2 linked regions of the Coturnix japonica genome follow. The protein of the gene in region 2 purifies or fractionates together with the protein of the main gene of each other region. This does not show direct contact. Links are inferred from orthologs where the notes say so. Each region holds a gene or a part of one and is shown on either strand. Other genes may lie near its edges. The genes, in order: RNPS1 and SRSF11.

Region 1 (9,479 bases), on a different chromosome or scaffold from region 2:
AGTCCAGCCTCACTCTCTCTCCTTCTGTTCCCCAACAGCTCCGGTTTCCATGGCGTGTGGTGGCAGCTTGCAGAACTTAGCAGCATTGCAGCCTTCCTGGAGGAGACCTGGAGTGAATCAAGGGGTTTGGTGGGGGAGGGAGGGGTCAGGGCATCTTTATGGCATACCCGGGTGAGGGGAGGAGGAATACTCAACATTGCAGTTCCACTTTAGATAGGGCAAAGAGCTTGCCCTGTGCTGAGGCCAGGTCAGGTACGTTTGTTGTTTCTTGAGAATAAACACTCCATCTTGTTTGTAGAGCTGCAGTGTTGATCTAATCAGGAATTCACTGGCAGCATCCAGCACAGCTGCTGGGGCTGGCAGGCATTGCCCTGCACCAAGAGAAAAAAGCAATGCCTAAAAACAGAAGGCAGAATCTCAAGAAGCACCAAATGATTTGGCCTGGCCAGTTTCTTTTTGACTTAGGCACTGCAATAAGTGCCTGTTTCGGGTACCTTGCAGAATGCAAAGCTATTCCAGGACCTGAGGACATCGATAGCTGGCAGCTGCCTGGCTTGACCCTTCTGGCTGAACTGAGATGGGGTTTGCACACACACTGACACCGGGGGCTGGCAGCACGTAGCTCCATCAGGGGGTGCCGGGCAGAAGCTGTTGCCTGCTGCTTCAGTTCAATATCTGCAGATTCAGAGAGGAGCCAGTGAGTGTTGGGGCTTTGGAGGGTTTTCCCTCTCCAAAGCCCTCTCCCATATGGCAGAACTTGAAAGTCAGAGAAGTTGGATGTGACCAGTGACACTGGGAGACAATGACAGAGGCTCAGTGGGGAAGAAGAGTAAACAGTAGGTAGAAATGCTTTGGGTGCTGATCTGTAACCCACTAAACCCCATCCACTGGCTTTTCAGTCCCTTCTTTGCAATGTAAAGGCTGCCCCGAAGGCCTTGCAGCGCTCCCTCATCTGCTGCGAGTGCTTAACATCCTTGTGCTTCAGTCCCTGTGATATTTAGTAATTTAGTCTGCCAGGAAAAATAGAAAAAAACACCCCTACAGATCTCACAGTTGACAGCCATTCCAGCCAGCAATGGGGGAAGGAAAAAAGCTGAAGTGGACAAATAGTGAGGATTTCCTCGGGATTCATCTAGAATGGATGCAGATGAGCAGCATAAAGGTGCTGGAAATAGCCTCTAAGCAGACAATGGCTGCCAGGGTCGCCCTGTGAGTGGTGCTGCCCTTCCAGGCAGACTCCTGGCAGCACACACAGCCTGCAGCTCCTGTAGCTCTGCCCCAGCTCACCCAGTCTTCCTAAGGCCCAACATTTAATCCTAAGGGTGGGAAGCGTGTCCTCACTGGGGCTGCAAACTCCAGCCTGAATACTTCACCTTGCCCCTCGGATGAGCACATAACCCCTCACCCAAGCAGCAAATGCCTGACATCTCTCAGCCTACAAGGGACAGGCCAGCAGCCCTGAAAGCGCTTTGCTGGAAGCAGCACGGAAGTCTCCAGCTTCAGGAGGGCAGTGCATGTTAGACTTGCTTGCGGAAGTAGCTTTAGAAGCAGCACACGCAGCAGCCTGCGCTGTAGAAGTAGCAGTAAAATGAAAAGATCCTGTGAACACAGGGAGGAGCTCAGAGATGCCTCTGCTGCAGCACATACACGGCTGAGCACAGCTCAGCACAGCTGGGTGCTGGCACAGGCTGGGGACAGCCAACAACCTCACACCTCCCATGGCCATCCAGGCACCGGCAGTTGGGTACCCTGGCCTTGCTTCAGGGTGCCTGGAAGTCTTCCCAAGGCAGCCTCCAGCAGCACGTGTCTGTGTGCACAGCAGAGTCAGCCCGTTCCTTGTATGAACCATGCGTGATCGGAGCAAAACCAATAAACACTGAGCTCTTAGTGCCTCCTGCCTGCTGGAACTGCTGACCTGAGCCTCTGTGCTTCACCTCCCCACGTCCCCTCCCACTCATTCCATGTCCCTGGTGGCACCTTGGCCGCCTCCACGCAGCCTTGGCTGCGCACAGTGCCCATGTCACCAGTGGGACGTGGTGCAGTGTCTGTCACCTCAGCCATGATGTGGAATTACCAACAGCAACAAGTACAAAACCACGACACCCCCCAAAGCAGTGGGAGCTCAAAGCTTTCCCCTCGTGCTGTGGCCCATTAAACATCATTAACTATGAGCGTAAATCCGCTTCTCCCACCCCAGTGTCATCCCCAGAAGCGCTGGCACTTGGTCTGCTGTCCCATGCAGCATCTCAGCTGAACCTCCATCTGTTGTATTCTCTGGGGGGCTGGTGGCCATTCCAAAGCTGCACCCACACCCACTGAGATCTTATTTCCTTTAAGAGCCAGTTCAGCCCTTGCTGTGCTCTGCTGGAGCAATAGGGAAAGGCTCACGTCCAGCTGCTGACACTGAGAGCCAGCTATGCATTGGGAAGGTCACCATTCGTCAGGAGCCATCACGGACATGATGAGGCGGACATGGCGGTGCCCATAACGGCACGGGCCGCCCACAGACCGTGACAGCAGGACAACATGGATCCCCTGCCCGGCCCCTTTAAGGCGCCCACCTCCCCTCCTCCCCCCTGGTGACGTCATCACTGCTCGCCACACGTTCGCTCTTCCCGCTCGTTCTGCGCCAATCGCGCGCGCCGGGCCCGGAGCGCTGAGAGCGCCGAGGATGTGAGTGTGTTGGGGCTGAGCGCCGTGCGGCCATCGGCCGCCATCGGCCTTTCATCCGCCTCCATCCGCCTCCATCCGCCCCGCCGCCGCTTCGGGGCGGCACCGCCGCATCTCGGGGCTGCCCAGGGGAGCGGGCGGGAGCCGACGGAGGGGATATGGATGGACGCGGGGGATAGGGATGGCGCCGCGGCCTACCGGGGGCGGGGAGGAAGGCGGGAGGCCGGGCCGGGGCGGAGCCGGGGCTGAGGCCTGCAGCGGAGTTGGGGCCTGGTGGTCCCGGCGCCCGGCAGCGGCAGAGCAGCGAGTCGGGAGCGACCCGCGGGTCTCGCTGTGCCCGGCGTCGTTCCGCAGCCTGAGAGCGGCTGAGCCCCGGCCGCTCTGGGCCCCGCGCTGCCATGAGCTGGGCCGGGGGCGTTGAGAGGAGCTGCCGAGCGGGCTGACCTTAAATCACGCGAGGAAAACTTTGCTATAGTTGTTGTTCATATAACTATAAACAAGCTGCCGTTGCAGGGCGCGCCTGCCCTGCAGGAAGGCTGAGGGAGAGCCCAGGTCGTTGCCTTGGCTGCAGCTCTCTGTAAGAATAGGTCTCATAGCTGACTGTGTGCAGGGAATGGGCAGCTTAATAGAGTGCCCCGAGGCCGGCTGGGCTGGGCTGGGTGCTGCACAGACACTGAGATGTTGGGGATGTCGGGTTTGGTTTCCATTCTTGGAAGGGTGGATGTTGCTTAGAAGTTCCTTGTGTTGTTTTAATGTGCTCATGCTGCGGTGTTATTCTTTATGGAGGTGTGTTTTAGTGAATGCCTGAGCACCTACAAGTGAAAGTGCCCAGAGGCTGCATCTCCCAGGCTGATCTTTCCAACTAAAACTGTCCTGGGAAAGGTCTGTGTTCATTGGGTGAAAGAAGAACACTGGTTACCTTAAGGGCTGCCTAAAAGCAGCCTTTCACAGGAGGTTGCTGGATGTGTAAGCAGCATTTGGCTGTTTAGTCTGGTAAGTGCCAGCCCTGTGGGTGCACACAGGAGTGCTGCTGATGGTGCTGTTTACATGCAGCTCTTCCCAGCTCTCCAGCAGCAGGCAGGACATTAGCAAAGCACTTGTTGGGCTTCTGAGCTCTCACTTCCCATCTTGCAGAGAGGTGGAACTGGGTGATCATTAGAGTATGTGATAGATGCAGCCCTCTCATAGGAAATGTTTGGAATTGAGCTGTCAGAGTTCAGGTTTTACATGTAAACAGTTAATAGTTACACATGCAGCACACTGGCACACACGTTCATTCTCTTCCAATAACTCATTAATGTATGTTCGTGTTCCTCTGGGCATGCACAGTTACACTGAGGGTGGTTGCTGGTTGTATGCCCACTTACTTTGTCCCCATTTTTCCACCATCAGTTCCATCACTGACATTTTTGATTCACCTGGAGCTGGTTTTCCCCAATTTTGCAAACGTCCATTGCTTCTTAGGCCATAATGGGCAACTTCCAAAACAACGTGTGTGGAAATCCAAGGAAAGCGTCCTTGCCCCTGGTGAAATACAATGACCAGTGGTCTGTCGTGACTCCAGTGCTGCTTATGAAGGGGAATTGAGAGAAAACAAGGCTGATCACACACCAGGCAAAGCAGAAGTGGAGAGTTTTAGGACTAGTGCTCATTGATTCCTTTTGCTGAATTAATATATTGCTCCTCAAACTAATATACTGATCTCTGTTGCTCAATGAACCAGCCTATATTGTTACTCAGCAGCCATCTCTTCCTGCCAAGCATGTGCTTTGCTGCACAGGGTGACTATGGAAGAAACCAGAGCTTCCTCTGGAGATGAGGATGTTGTCAAGAGGCAGGAGCTGCATGTGTGCCGTGTGTAGGAGATGAATGTCCTCTGTGTGCCTTCAAGGGGAGCACATAGCGAGGGTCTTTTGTACTTCTGTGAATATCACAATTTGTAACTTTAAACACGCATACAGGTCTGTATTCCATGAAGGTTGAGCTGGCCCAGGGGCTGGATGTAACTGCCATGCAGTGCTGTGCCTGGCTGCAGTGCCCTGGAGAACACACTTGTCCTCTGGTGTGCTGCCACTGGTGCACAGCAGCTCTGCTCTTCTGTGTCTGTTCATCTTGTTTCTGAACACTCTTACCTTGTCACTTGGCTGCTCTGTTGCTTTCAATTAGGGGTCACTTCTCAGAAGCAAGGGGTTAGAACTGAGATTTGGCACAAGTGAGGCCTGTTTTGCTTTGGATACCTCTGAAGGGGAAACAGAGTTAATGGGAATTAAAAAGAAGAGTTTGCTGGGTCTTAAAGAAAATAACAAAAAATCCAGCACTAGGTAATCATTCCAGATTTTCAAGGCCTGCTGGAAGCGGGGATGCTGTAGGGTACTGGGGCTTTCCCAGTGAGGGTAAGGAGTTGAAAATATCTCTGTGGGTGAACTTACACATGACAGTAAGTTCTGTGTGCTGGACCTGCTGTCCGCAAAGCTGCTACTCTGCAATGTAACACATTTTCCTTTTTCCTAAAAAGCTCGAACTTACCTAATGCTTTAACTCTGCTCTTTTGGTGTCTTCAATTACATTTAAAGTTCAGTGTTTTGTGTTGCTGTTCTGTTCCTTGTTTGAGTGTGTTTTCCATATTAAACAATCCCTTCTGCCATGTATTCTTGAAGGGCTCCCTCACCAACCAAACGCAAGGATAGGTCTGAAGAGAAATCAAAGGACCGATCCAAGGACAAAGCAGCCACTAAGGAATCGGGTGAAAAGGATCGTGGTCGGGACAAGACGCGCAAAAGGCGCAGTGCTTCCAGTGGGAGTAGCAGCACCAGGTAGCTACCATTACAGGCAGTAACAAATACATGTTTTCAGAGCCACCTTTTGCTGACTTCCACACGGCTCAGATTTACACAACCTTTGAATTGCATTGGTCACAATGGAAAGATTAAAGGAAGGGGTTTTGACCGTTGTGAAGTATGGTGGAATTAGTGAGCTATGGAGAGTCGGTTTTCATTGCTGTAACTTGCAGTTGCTTTCTGTCTACCAGGAGAAGAGCTTCAGCCATTCTTTTTCTGGGTATTCCACTCATGTTTTGCTTCCTTTACCAGGTCCCGCTCCAGCTCCACTTCCAGCTCAGGATCCAGTTCCAGCACTGGTTCCAGCAGTGGCTCGAGCTCCTCTTCTGCCTCAAGCCGCTCTGGGAGCTCCAGCACCTCACGCAGTTCAAGTTCCAGCAGCTCCTCTGGATCCCCCAGTCCGTCCCGACGGAGACATGACAACAGGAGGCGGTCCCGCTCCAAGTGAGTTCATGTTGTCTTTAGGAATTCCTACAGAGCAGGTTCCTTGTGCAATACAAGGTTGTGATCAAACAGATTTTTACCAAGGATGGTCTGCATTCTCCGTAACTTAGAGATGTGAATTTTGTTAGAACAGGCATGTTTCTATTAATGGCAGTCAAAATGGATGCCAGCTTCTAGTTCTTGTCGTCTTGTTTCCCCTGAAAACTGTGAATGTTTTCATGTCCAAATCAGGTCCAAGCCACCGAAGAGAGATGAAAAGGAGCGGAAGCGGCGCAGCCCATCACCCAGACCTACAAAAGTGCACGTTGGGAGGCTCACTAGAAACGTCACCAAGGTAATGGCATGTTCTCCTGTAATGCCACGCAGGTGCACCCCTGTGGGCGTGTGTTGGTGGCTTTTTTTAAAGCCTTCAAGGTTTGTTTTGTTGCTGGTGTACTGCCAGCACATTGCTGTTGGAAATGCTTGCTTTGTGTCCAAACTGATGAGCGTGGAATGCTTCAGTAGAACTTCCTCAAGTCAAATTAACTGTGGGCTTGTGTAATTCAGTAGTGTTAAAAGTTCTGTCTGCCTTATTGGTACCCGAGAGCTCCACCTTCCTAGGAAGAAAGCTGTAGAAGTCAGTACAGCAGTAGAAATCACCTGGGAGGCATTAAGGACACCTGGGGGGTTCACCAAAAGGAGCTTCAGGAGAGCTGGACTGGCTGGAGTTGTCTTTGCTAGAATGTAGTTTAAAGGTCTGCAGAAATACAAGTTTAGGGTGCTGAAAAAATGCTATTTAAAAACACAATATTAAGAATTGCACCTTAAGACTTTCTAAGTGAGGACACAACTTCACTTTCCTAAGGTCCCCAGGAAGGTTTTTACACTAGTGCAGCTTTTGTAGCCTGTGGTGGTGTTCAGCCAGTAATTCTGTTAAGGATTAGAGTGATCTGAAGTGAAACAGACATAGATGTCAGTAGAGGATGTGGTAATCTCAGTGTCCTTTCCACACCTGATCAGTGGAATATATCTCCTGCAGGTGGCATTGATTCAAAGCTGATGTGGTGCTGTGTGCTCTGTACCAGCCAGAGCTGCTCAGTGATAGTGCTGTACATCCTTAAGTTCTGCTCTTTTTTGGCAGGATCACATCATGGAAATTTTTTCCACTTATGGAAAGATTAAAATGATTGACATGCCAGTTGACAGGCTAAATCCACACCTCTCTAAAGGCTACGCTTATGTGGAGTTTGAGAACCCAGATGATGCTGAGAAAGCCCTGAAACACATGGATGGAGGTAGGTGTCAAATGCTGCAAGGAGGCTGAGTGCTTTGAAAGAAGTTTTTGGATTTGATGTGAAAATGAGATGGAGATGATGGGCTGCCTTTTGGGGAACTGATCTGACGTGCTGTCATTCTGTTTTCAGCCCAGAGGGGCTTTTGTATGGTCTCAGGACAGGTTGAAAAGAAAATACAGAACTATTAAAATGATAGTTTTGTTTTTTTTTTCCAAACAAAATATCATTTAAATCTTTGTGAAAATCCTTCCTGATCCATGTCTGGTGGGATACTTGGTGAAGAAGTCTGGTGTGTGTGTGGTTTGGTCAGTATAACTTCAGAGTGTAGTGGAAATAGGAGCACGGGGTCGTGCTGCTTGTGTCAGAGCTGTGAATCGCTGTCACTTGGTTTGTTGGTGCTGGCAAACACTAACTTTATTTTTGTGACTTTCTGAACAGGGCAGATCGATGGGCAGGAGATCACTGCCACAGCTGTACTGGCACCACGGCCCAGACCGCCGCCTCGGCGCTTCAGCCCCCCCAGGAGGATGCTGCCCCCACCCCCCATGTGGCGCAGGTCACCCCCTCGCATGAGGAGAAGGTGAGAGCTGTGGCATTTCTTATTTCCTTCTTGTTGTAACAAGAATTTGTCATGAAGTCCCAGTGCCAGGACAGCTTCGTCTCATTGGAGTTGATTGTCCACTCCAAATGACAGTTCAAAACAAAGCAGTCACCTTCTGGGTGTCAGTTGAACTCAGATTGTTCTTAATATTCCATTCCTGGGACCTTGGTGTCACACTGGTGGCTGTACAGACTAATTGTAGCACTTTATCTTTAGAGCTGAGCTTCCTGTGAGAAGTGTCTGTGGTGCTGTGTGAGCTGTGTCAATACTGAACAATATTTCAGGAGCCAAAGTCTCAGATGAACCTTTCAGATCGAGGAGAGTCTGACTTAGAACAAACTTGTTTGTTTTGTGTGAAGCAGAAAATAAGATTCTTGTCTATTCTTTGGATATGAAGCAGCCTTTCAAGCTGTGAAGCAGAGGGTGGTAGCTAGAAAATCCCTGCTGGGATCTTGCTGTTTAAGTTGCCCTTTTGCTTCCTGCGGTTTGCTGTCTGTCGGATCTTTCACAGTGGTTTATAAGGGGGCGAAAGGAATCAATGAGCAGAGGTGGCAGGTGAGGTGACCTTCCTGGAGCTGCTCCCTGTGCCCTGACAGGAACTTTCTCCTCCTCCTGCCAGGTCTCGCTCCCCGCGCCGCAGGTCTCCTGTTCGCCGGCGCTCGCGGTCCAGGTCTCCGGGACGAAGGCGCCACCGCAGCCGCTCCAGCTCCAACTCGTCACGATAAAGCAAAAAAAGAATGGACAGCTTTTTATTTTTTAACTTAAATTCCGCGAAAATAAATATTGTACCTTTTTTATAATGGGTCTAGGAGAGGAAGGGAGAGAGGGGGAGAGAGAGGATGCAGTGGAGGTAACAGAGAGGAGACGGCAGCAGCTCCCGGCCATTGGGCAGCCTCTGCTGCGGGGCTTGGAAGTTTCCTGGCATTGAATTGGCATTATTGACAAACAGCCTCGATTTTTATGTTTTAGTTTTGTTTTTTCCCGGCTATAAACCCACCGTGTCCTGTGCTGGTTGTGCGGGGCTGCTCTGGCCCCTTTGTCCAGTGAGTTCACAATGCTTTGTGTGCTGTAAGGGTGAGCGTATCGATCTCGAGCTGTTTGGAAACGCTGCAGAACGGGACAGGGAGCCTCAGGGCTGGGACTGAGCGGCTCGAACAGATCACAAACCTGATCACAGACCTGATCCTTGAGCTGCTGCTTTATTCCCAGTCCCAAATAATGAGTCGTTTGTGCCCATTGATGTCCTGCAGTGCTCCTGGTTGATGCTGCACCCTGCTGAACGCTGCGAATCTTACCAGCGGGTTTGTAGCTGCTGCCCCACTCGGTCCCATAAGGAAACAATGCGATTGTTCTGCTTTACAAATCCCATTAGCAACTGATGGGCAACCACTGCAAGGCAGAGGGGGGGCTTGAGGCCGTGCTGCTGCCTGGGGAAAGGCAGAGAACCAACCACCTGTTGTACAGTCGATCCTATAAAGTCTTTTTGTTGTTTTTTCTTTATTTTCGTGTCGTTTTGTATGACTTTGTAGCCTTCGGGGCCGCGTTGTGTTTGTACTTGTGTAGGACGAGCGACTCGAATAAAGCAGTAGGGTTGAGAAATCGGGGCTCCTGCGCCTTTAAGAGCACAGTGGGCGGGGCTTCTTGCGGCTCCGC
Region 2 (8,988 bases):
AAAAACAAGAGTTATTTCACAGGTCGGGACTTAAAAGACAGGAAACAATTGCCAGGAGGAAACACAATAATCTGAGGTCAAGTCTCCTTGCATCTGCAGGACAACTGCAGCACAGACAGCTGTGCCATCAATTTGTTCACACTTGTGAATTATGAATTCAGCCACCAGGGAAGATGAAATCATTAAACTCAGAGCAGGCAGAGACGATGTCAAACCACCACCGTGAATGAAGGATTCTGCGACTGAGAATTACCTGGCTCGATAGCAGCAGAAATTAACGACTGTGCTTCTCGTACTCTTTTCATAGCTTCTTCTATTTCTTTACTGGAGGTATCTGATTTCAGGCTTGGTGAAACAAGACCTGCAGCTACGTGGTTCAGCCTGGAAAATAAAAACAGCAACTGACGTATTCAGTGTGTTCATATACCCAAAACACAGAAGCCTGCACTGCCAGTTTGCAGCCTGTCCAAAAATGACTGATCCAAATGAAGCACAACCTGCCTGCAGGTTGGCACCATTCAGGTAACAGAGAAACAGGTCTGCGATGAAAAATTCTACAGCGCAGCAAGTCTGGGATGGAGGCAGTGGTAGAAAGCTCTTAAAATTCCAGTTAGCTATAAGTAATGAGTTTGTATTGTCTCGTGTGGGTTTCTGATGATGCATCTCAGTACATTTTTGTACAGCTGTATTTCAGTTCTCACCACCTGAAAGATCAGCTACAACACATTACCTGGCAGAAAATCACTTTCCACTCTATAAGCCAGATTCAGAAGCCCACAGTGATGAAAATTAAGGTTCAGAAGTTCCATCCCAGAAGTTGCTTTAAAGCCAGCCAGGTGTACCACACACAATGCATCCCTTACCTACAATGACTACTTTGTTCACCTGGTTTAAAATAAAGAATCGCATGCCAAAGTAATACTAAAACTGAGGATAGAACACGCACAGCTTTGCCCACTGGGGTAGGTTGGACAGTTTTGACTTAAGTTAAAAGCAACCCTTCCCTATTGCTGTTCACGTGCCACGTTATTTTAGAGAAAGTCATTTTTTTTCTAACCACCGAAATAAAAATCAGCAAATATTTGTGTTCATCGTTATTTGTTTTTTCTTATCAAGTAACAAATCTGCTGGCTGTTATTACTTCTGAAGCTGTAACGTGCAGCCTGTTACTATGGCCATGTATAGTAATTGCTCACCTTGGCTCACTCGCAGCCCTTAATGCTCCCAAGGGCTCTGGCTGCAAGCTGCGCTATTACATTACAGACATGGGAGTGACCAAAATTACATACATGAAACTTTCTGTCTCTAGCAACATGAAATCTCAGAGATTCACCGGTTATTTTATACATACAATCATTATTATGGTTATTCCATAGATCAGAGCAGATAATCTTAGTTTCCTGTCCTCTCTTCCCAGCAGAGCAGACAGAATCAGCAGTGACCCCCACAACATGAAGTTTCTCCAACCTTAATTAGACCCCGTAGAACAAAGATGGGATTCTGAATCACTGACATCACTCTCCAAAATAAGTGTTCAATTACTTGTAAACAACAAAACTTACTTTGGATCCACTGTGCTCATCAGTTTGAGTAGCTGATCCGCTGCAAGAGACTGGGGGGGAGAAGGGGGGGAAGGGAAGGAAAAGAAGTTAAAATCATGTTGGAAGAGGCACATGCTTCAGATGCTCAGTGTACCAGTGGCAGTAACTAAAGCAGTCTCTGTCAAGGAAAACCCCCCCAGCAAGTTACAGACAAGAAGATACACCATCCTGTTTCAGAGCCTGCAGGTGGGGGTGGGGATGAGTTGCCTGTCAGCACATTTCAGGGATGCTGAAGCATTTTATTCTTTTTCCTCCCCAGGGACCAAACAGCCTCTCCTGGACAGACTCAAAGCACTTCCCAATGAAAATGAACGTACCTCTTGTATTTACAGATTAGTTCACTGTTACTTCAAGAACAGAGACTTACTTGGACACATGCCCTTCAGAAGTTCTCAGTGTCAACTTAAAAAACAAGCAAAGTTTCTTTACTCAAAGAATTGCAGAAAGTTCTTTTTACAGCTCTTCAGTAAATCCAGATATTGCCACCTCGGGCCACCTCCTGAAGCAGCAGTATGTTAACAAAGCAAAACCTTTTGTTTCCAGCAATCTCATGCACAGAGAGGCAGCCATTGCAGTCCAACTGGCTTAATGGACACAGGAGATTTTTAAATGCTTATTTTTCCTACTTTCATCTCCATATCAGCATTGTTTGCTTTTGCTCCCACACATGGCATGCATAAATAGAATGCTGGGTGAGGAATCTCCTTAGCACTGCGATAAATTAATGCTTCTTCCATCTACAGATTAAGCCCTCCCTGCAGTATATGGCTCTTATACCTCAGACATTAACTCAGTGTTCTACTCACTATTTCTCAGTATTTGAGCTCTTCCCCCCCCCAGTTTTACAAACCTACAATCAAACCAAGTCTTGGTGTTTCCTACAAGTACACAATTAAGGAGACAACCATCACTTTTTAACTGTTGATCTGCCATAAGAGATTCAGAGGCACTTAAGGCACTCCACTGTTAGTCTCCAACTATTTGTAGGTTCTTCTGGCATTAACTGAGAAGTGCTACAGAGAGCAACTATTCTGAAGAGTGCTCAGAAAAATCAGTCACGGGATTTTTAGTCAGCTGGACTGATATAACTGAGAACTGCTCTTCACTGGAGAAGAGGGCAACAAAAATAAAGAGCAAACTCCAGATCTTCAGCTCGTTATTTAATCCAGTGCTGAAACCTAAGAACAGCACCAGTCTTACCCATCAACACGTGTGGGACAACACAGAACGCTGTGACACACCTGAGAGTTTAAGTTTGCTCCAGGAAGCCCAAGAGCAGCAAGGGCAGGATCGAGAGCAGGAGCTCCGAGAGCAGCTAAAGGAACAGCACCAATCTGTAACAAAGACAGCAATGAGCCAAAGCAACATTCAACTGACAAAAACTGTTCAGAGTCTCCAAGCGTTCTGTAAGCATTCTAAAATGAGACTCTGCCAGGAGTTACCAGGAAAACTCACTCCAAGTTTCTAAGCCAGTGACCTCACCTTCTGTAACTTCCCCCAGGTTTCAAGGCTCAGCTCTACAGCTTCTGAACAGCTCAATACATCTTTCATATAGGAATAACACGAGTTACATGCAGGAGTGCTAAGCAGAAGCTGAAGAAGCAGATCTGAGATAGATCTGAGATATGCAGAGCTAATGAAGCCAGACTCTTACTGATTTGCCTCCTGCACTTTGATTCTGAGCTCTAATAAGATGTGTTTTGAACTTATATTTTTCTGTAACACACTTTTTTTGCCATTCATTTTCCACATGATTTTCTGTGTGTTTAAAGAGCAAATACACGCTGTAACTTTTCCCCCCCCTCAGCTGTAATATTACTGAAGTTATTTCTCCACAGCTCATCAATTTCTTGGCATTCAGGAATTTAGACTCTGTCTGTAAGATCCCTCCTCCTTGTCAGATCTGTTGGTAAGCATTCAATGGAGAGAAAAGGGATCTGAGGGGAAAGGCCGTAAGTGGCACAGCAGAAGTACTCCTCCTAACAACTCACCATCCTTCCAACAAAAACTGTATCAGAGGGCTGCAACAATACTATCCATGGAGGTATCCAAAGTACAACACTCCCTGCCTCAACATCAGCATGCCAGCAGGTTCCTCTGGAAACCAACCGACCGACCAAGCAGGAAGCAACTGAGCACCCAGCATTGGGTTCCCTTCATCCAGCCCAAGCAGAAAACCTACCTGAGAAAGTGGGTTGGGAGTAGGCAGGAGTCCACCTCCAGGCAGCAGACCTGCCACAGCATTGGCTGGTGCCAAGAGAGACAAAGCCTTAGTCTCATCAGGAATGACTCCTGCAGAGAAATAGCCTGGCATTAGAACGCATTCTTTTTCTAAAGCAGAAAATACACAAATACACCCAAGAAAATGTCTCCCTGATACACCACCTGAGTTTGTTGAAAGTACTTATGTTTGCTAAAATACAAAGCTTGATGGCTATTAATATTTATCATTAATTTTTTTTTTGTCAGAATGAAACTTCAATGCGTGAAAATTTGACTGTTCCTTTTTCTCTACAAATGGTTAAGTATCTAGAGCAAAAAAAAATAGCACAATACACACTACTGTTTTGTTAACACTGCCAAGATTTCATCACCTGTACTCGATTTTTAAGTCATGAACCAAACGTAAGCAAGCACAGTCGGTTCTCCAGGGGTGTGCTCTCAACTTTCAAAAGCTGTTTTATGAACAACGACTCGTGTCGGCTGCTTCACTACAAAGCACACAGAAAAATCAAGATACACAAGACAAAAAAAGTTTGATTTAGGGGTTAATAATACGGTACAGTTCACTATGTTTTCTTTTACACCTACCATAGCAAATTTGTAAAACTTAAAGAGAAGGTACGGAAATATTTTTTTGCTGAATCAAGCGTAGGGCTTTTGCTGACTTGTCAGATAAAAACGACAGACTCTGCAGGTCTTCCAATACAAGCTGTGTGTGTCTGCATACGTACAGTACGTCGTGGCACATTCCTTACCTGTGCAGTAAAATGCTTATGTTCCGATATGTGCCATGCTTATGTACCAAGAATGCTGCTACGGAAGAAACTTCTGGCCCCAAATCTTGCAGCCAACTAAGACAAGCGTCTTATTTACTGCCTGCTCTGCACAGATAATTTGAAGGGTCCTAGCGCAAAACAAGTACTTGTGTAGGTGTTTTTTACTTCTATCCAACAGCAAAAGCCCTATACAGATGGATTAATTTGTTAATGTGCCCAAGCCCCCAAAATGAGAGTTCAATAAAACAATTTTACTAAATATTTGCAAATACCAGTAGCGTTTCTGCAATACGTATTAAGAAACTGCATCTCATCATAAAACATACAATATGTACAGGGCACTTAAGAGAAACTGGATAAGCTGCAGAAGAAAACTGTTGGGTGGTATTTTCAGCAGGGCCTGGTATATAGTTCAGGCTGAACCAGGGAAAAGAACTGTAAAACACAACAACAAAAAAGAAAAACCACTGTTAAATAAAGGTAATGGTTCCTTCCACCTATACTGAGAAGTGCCGATAATATAAACAAATGTACAACACACAGCACTGTTATCTCGCTCGTGTCATTGAGCTGCCATCAATTTAGATACCAAAAGTTATGGAGGGAGAGGAGGGGAAAAAGGTCATTTAGATAAAGGGCATTAACGCATAAATATATTAACATACCTACAGAGAGATTACGGGGTAATTTTGCATGCAAAATTATGTCTGAGAGGATATTTATCAATTACAGCTAAACATTTCAAATTAGTGCAGCTACGACATTTCCGGCAGCTAAACGCAAACCCTCACTCATCTCCAGACACCTCACAGGAGATCTGCATTCATTAAAAAAAATCATGCATCTGATGCTCTACTCGTTTCTTTAAAAGGTATTTAGAAATAAATAAACTACAAGTGAAAAAAGCAATGAGGCCCCTCACCAGTTAATTTTCATGCTTCAAGAGCTTTTTTTACTGCTGCTTTGTTAGAACCATGAAATACTGTATGAATATGTAGAAATGAAAGAAAAAGAAACAGACAAAAGAAACAAACATTAACCAAAGAACCTAAATACCCCCCCAGCCACCTTTAATCTTAGAGCTCCTTCCAAATCTAGGAATATCACAGTGAAAATTACAATGAATACTAAACCTTACCGTAGACTTTGTGTATAGCTCTATAACACAAAGCAACAGCCAACACCAAAGTGTCTGTGTGTGCTAAACCTGGAGTGCACTTGTGATATATGGGATAATTATTGCGCTAGACAGATAATAAACATTCACTTTAGCGACAGGCAATAATAAAACAGAATTATCACAGCAGAAAACAAGAGAGGTGAGGGCCCAGTTCAGCACAGTAATTAAGCATCTGCCTGACTTTAAGCACATGAACAAATTCACTGCGGTTTTAAGAATCTCGCTGTACGGTGCTTAAGTAACTTGTTGAATTGGGACCCCGGCAGCACGAAATTAGAGGTAAGGATGCTCCCATACAGGGACCAGGGGCAGAGCTTCATTGGCTGAACACGTGGCTGGGGATAGGCCACATCATTATGACAGAACTGTTCACACTCTGAATCACTGTAATACCATAAGAAACAGCCCATAAGGAACTCTGTGACTTAAACAGGCCCATTAAAATACAATGATGTCATTAACATTATCTTTAGACAATCTGAACTGAAACCACTGGGCAGAGTTTTTATGCACCAGTTTTATCCAGAATGGACAAGTCAGACTGACAAAGAATATTCTTTTAATCCTTATTGGAAAAACTAAACACTGACATCTGTCAGCATGGGCCTCGGAGAATGTTTCAGTATTGACTGATGGACTGTTACTATGTCATGCTTTAATATAAGGAGGAGAATAAGATGCCTTTCCACTACCCTGTAATAACTGCAGTAGGGAAAGGGGAAGCAGTAACTCCACATTTCTGAACGTGCTCTGTAGTCCCCCCACAGCAGCATGTCCCAGTCAAAGGTCACGCTGCAGATTCCTACCTTCCAGAAATTAAGTTTCCATATCTCTTAAACTGCAGGAATACAAAGATAAGACAGTTCCCCAGGCTTCCAAAGACATCCTTGTAGCATTATAATGTCTTAATAAAAGGTCTGAACCCAGACCACGCACCAAATTCGTTATTGTAGTATGACTTCATCTGCAGGGGTGGTACTTAATTCAAGCCATTTGGGAAAACCCATCATTTCAGAAGTAAATCAGTACAAGAAAACAGTACAATGGAAATCAATTACTTCTAAAGCAAGTCTAGAAGAGTTTAATAAGACTTCTGCAAGAAGAGGTGTCTTCTCAGCACAGTTTTTAAGTTCCAAAAACCCTGCTCATTGCCTTTCAAATTACTGTAACACCCTAAAATGTAAAAATAAAAAGAAGAAGAGAAAATGTAGTTAACAAGTGGTTACACCAGGAAAACACTTGGGGACTTGAGTGCTTGCTGGCCTTTAGTTAATGTCTAGAATCCCCTGTAGCTGCAGAGGACCCACTGTTTTTCAGTCATCAGGAAGGGCTTTGCATTTGCCTTCTCCACTACAAAAATCACACACACAAATAACAGAGAGAAGAGTTTATTATTTAGTGAAATTCTATTAAAATAAAGCATGGCTGAACAAGAAAACTTGGAATAACTGCTAGTACCAGTGCCCATCTGGCACCTCTTGGAAGAGCTCACTTTCAAATTACATCTACTGAAACCCTTGGTATACTGGAGTTCACAATGAGAGTGAATGAATGGCTTTTCAGGGAAGCTCCCCACTGAGTGCAAGGCAGCGAATATCAAAGAGGCGTTAACCTACTCTCCCGTGTGCTCTCAGGGAGGGAGAAACCATTCTCATGAAGAGATTCATGCACACGTGAATGATGTAAATGCTACTTAAGGGAAAATTTCCTTACAGCATTGACCTGTTTGCAGAGCTCCATTTAAGAAAATGTCTCACTGACATCAATAAAGAGCATAATTTGCAAGTAACTCTGCCTAAACTGCTAATATTCTAAACTTAAGAAACACAAAAGCAGTAAGAGGTAAGCTTCCCATTTTCATTCAGCATCACTAAATAAAAGCAGTACTTAATCCAAGAGCCAATTGCAATATACCAAGGGTTTTTAAATGTTAATAGTCATACGTTTGACATCTTACTAATGCTCATTTTTGTGAACTACATTGGAATAAAATGTCATCATATGCTGGCTGCATAGACCATTAAACAATTCACAAACCTTCTGCATATGGAACCACTATCAAGGCTCTGTCAACGAACACAGTGTTTGTCAGGTGCTGGGCCACAACCGCCGAGTCGGGCTCGTGGAACTTTACAAAACACACACGTGATGACACGGGCAAGGGAGAATCACTGGAAAAGAAGGAGAAATTAATGAGATGCAACAAAATCAGACGCGATGAGACGTTATGGCTCCCTGTGTTGCCTTTCACCAAACCACAAAGTCAAGAAATTACGAGTGAAGACACTCTCCTATAAAATTACAGAAATAATTCGACTGCCTTGTTTGCAACTGAAGATGAATTCCATCATGCAGGGTATAGCTACGGCCAGTTGCCTAAATGCAGATTAGTTTTCATCACTTATCTGTAAGAGAAGAAGGAGACAAATGCTTTATTCAAGGAAAACAGAGCTATCTTACGGATTATGCTAGTGAAGTTCTCAGGAATGGGAGCTGTGTACTCTCTGCTTTAGCACCCAGATTGCATTTCTGAAGTAAACTATGAAGAGGAGAATGATTAAAACATGATTATTTTACTTCTTAACACTATTTCATAAATGCTTCTAGCCCAAACTTCACTGTGCTTCTTCTTGTGGCCAAATGCATGCACAGAAACCACCCGGCTCCCTTCAGAGGGAGGTAGGCAGCTCAGAACATGCATTACTCAACAGTACCAGAACAAAGCCCAGATACAGGAATGTCATTTGGGCAATGCTACAGCTGAAATCACACTAAAGGGCCAAGAGTTCCTGGAGAACCAACCTGTACCATCAGCCTCTCAGCAAGACAGGCCCCTGCCCACTGCACAGCTCAGAGTGAGCACCTCAGCAGGACTGTGCACAAACCCTCAGCTATGGAAAATCAGAAGAGAACGTGGAAACTTTGACTCCATTTAAAGACCAGAATCATTTACCTCCTACAGGGATAAGAAAGCATGGTAGGCTGTGAAAGCCCCTGGGCGAAAATGGTGACAACAGAAAGAATGAAGGCAAAAATCAACTCAGTAGAGATCCAAAGTAGATTTCCAAAGTCCATAGTGTATGAAAACTGCACATTTTCCTTTAGTCAGTGATCTACATCAAGAGTTAAGAGCTGCCTACAGAAGATTGAGAGCAGGCACAGGAAGCAGCACCAACTCCCTAATGCTGCGCTTCCCAACCACGGCCAG

Evidence for each region.
Region 1: the proteins of SRSF11 (region 2) and RNPS1 purify together in Homo sapiens (co-immunoprecipitation; 4 studies listed by BioGRID and IntAct, with this or other methods). This does not show direct contact. The link is inferred for Coturnix japonica from reciprocal best matches to the Homo sapiens genes SRSF11 and RNPS1.

Annotation. Positions count from the first base shown.
Region 1 is NC_029529.1:12,005,958-12,015,436, reverse strand, and holds RNPS1 (RNA-binding protein with serine-rich domain 1), read left to right. Parts: upstream 1-2,488; 5' UTR 2,489-2,671; coding exon 2,672-2,673; intron 2,674-5,327; coding exon 5,328-5,483; intron 5,484-5,759; coding exon 5,760-5,951; intron 5,952-6,182; coding exon 6,183-6,285; intron 6,286-7,071; coding exon 7,072-7,225; intron 7,226-7,663; coding exon 7,664-7,805; intron 7,806-8,445; coding exon 8,446-8,551; 3' UTR 8,552-8,979; downstream 8,980-9,479. UniProt on the Homo sapiens protein: Part of pre- and post-splicing multiprotein mRNP complexes. Auxiliary component of the splicing-dependent multiprotein exon junction complex (EJC) deposited at splice junction on mRNAs.
Region 2 is NC_029523.1:26,136,964-26,145,951, reverse strand, and holds part of SRSF11 (serine/arginine-rich splicing factor 11), read right to left. Parts: intron 7,952-8,988; coding exon 7,818-7,951; exon of another isoform or gene 3,916-7,817; coding exon of another isoform or gene 3,894-3,915; coding exon 3,784-3,893; intron 2,936-3,783; coding exon 2,843-2,935; intron 1,613-2,842; coding exon 1,563-1,612; intron 382-1,562; coding exon 254-381; intron 1-253. UniProt on the Homo sapiens protein: May function in pre-mRNA splicing.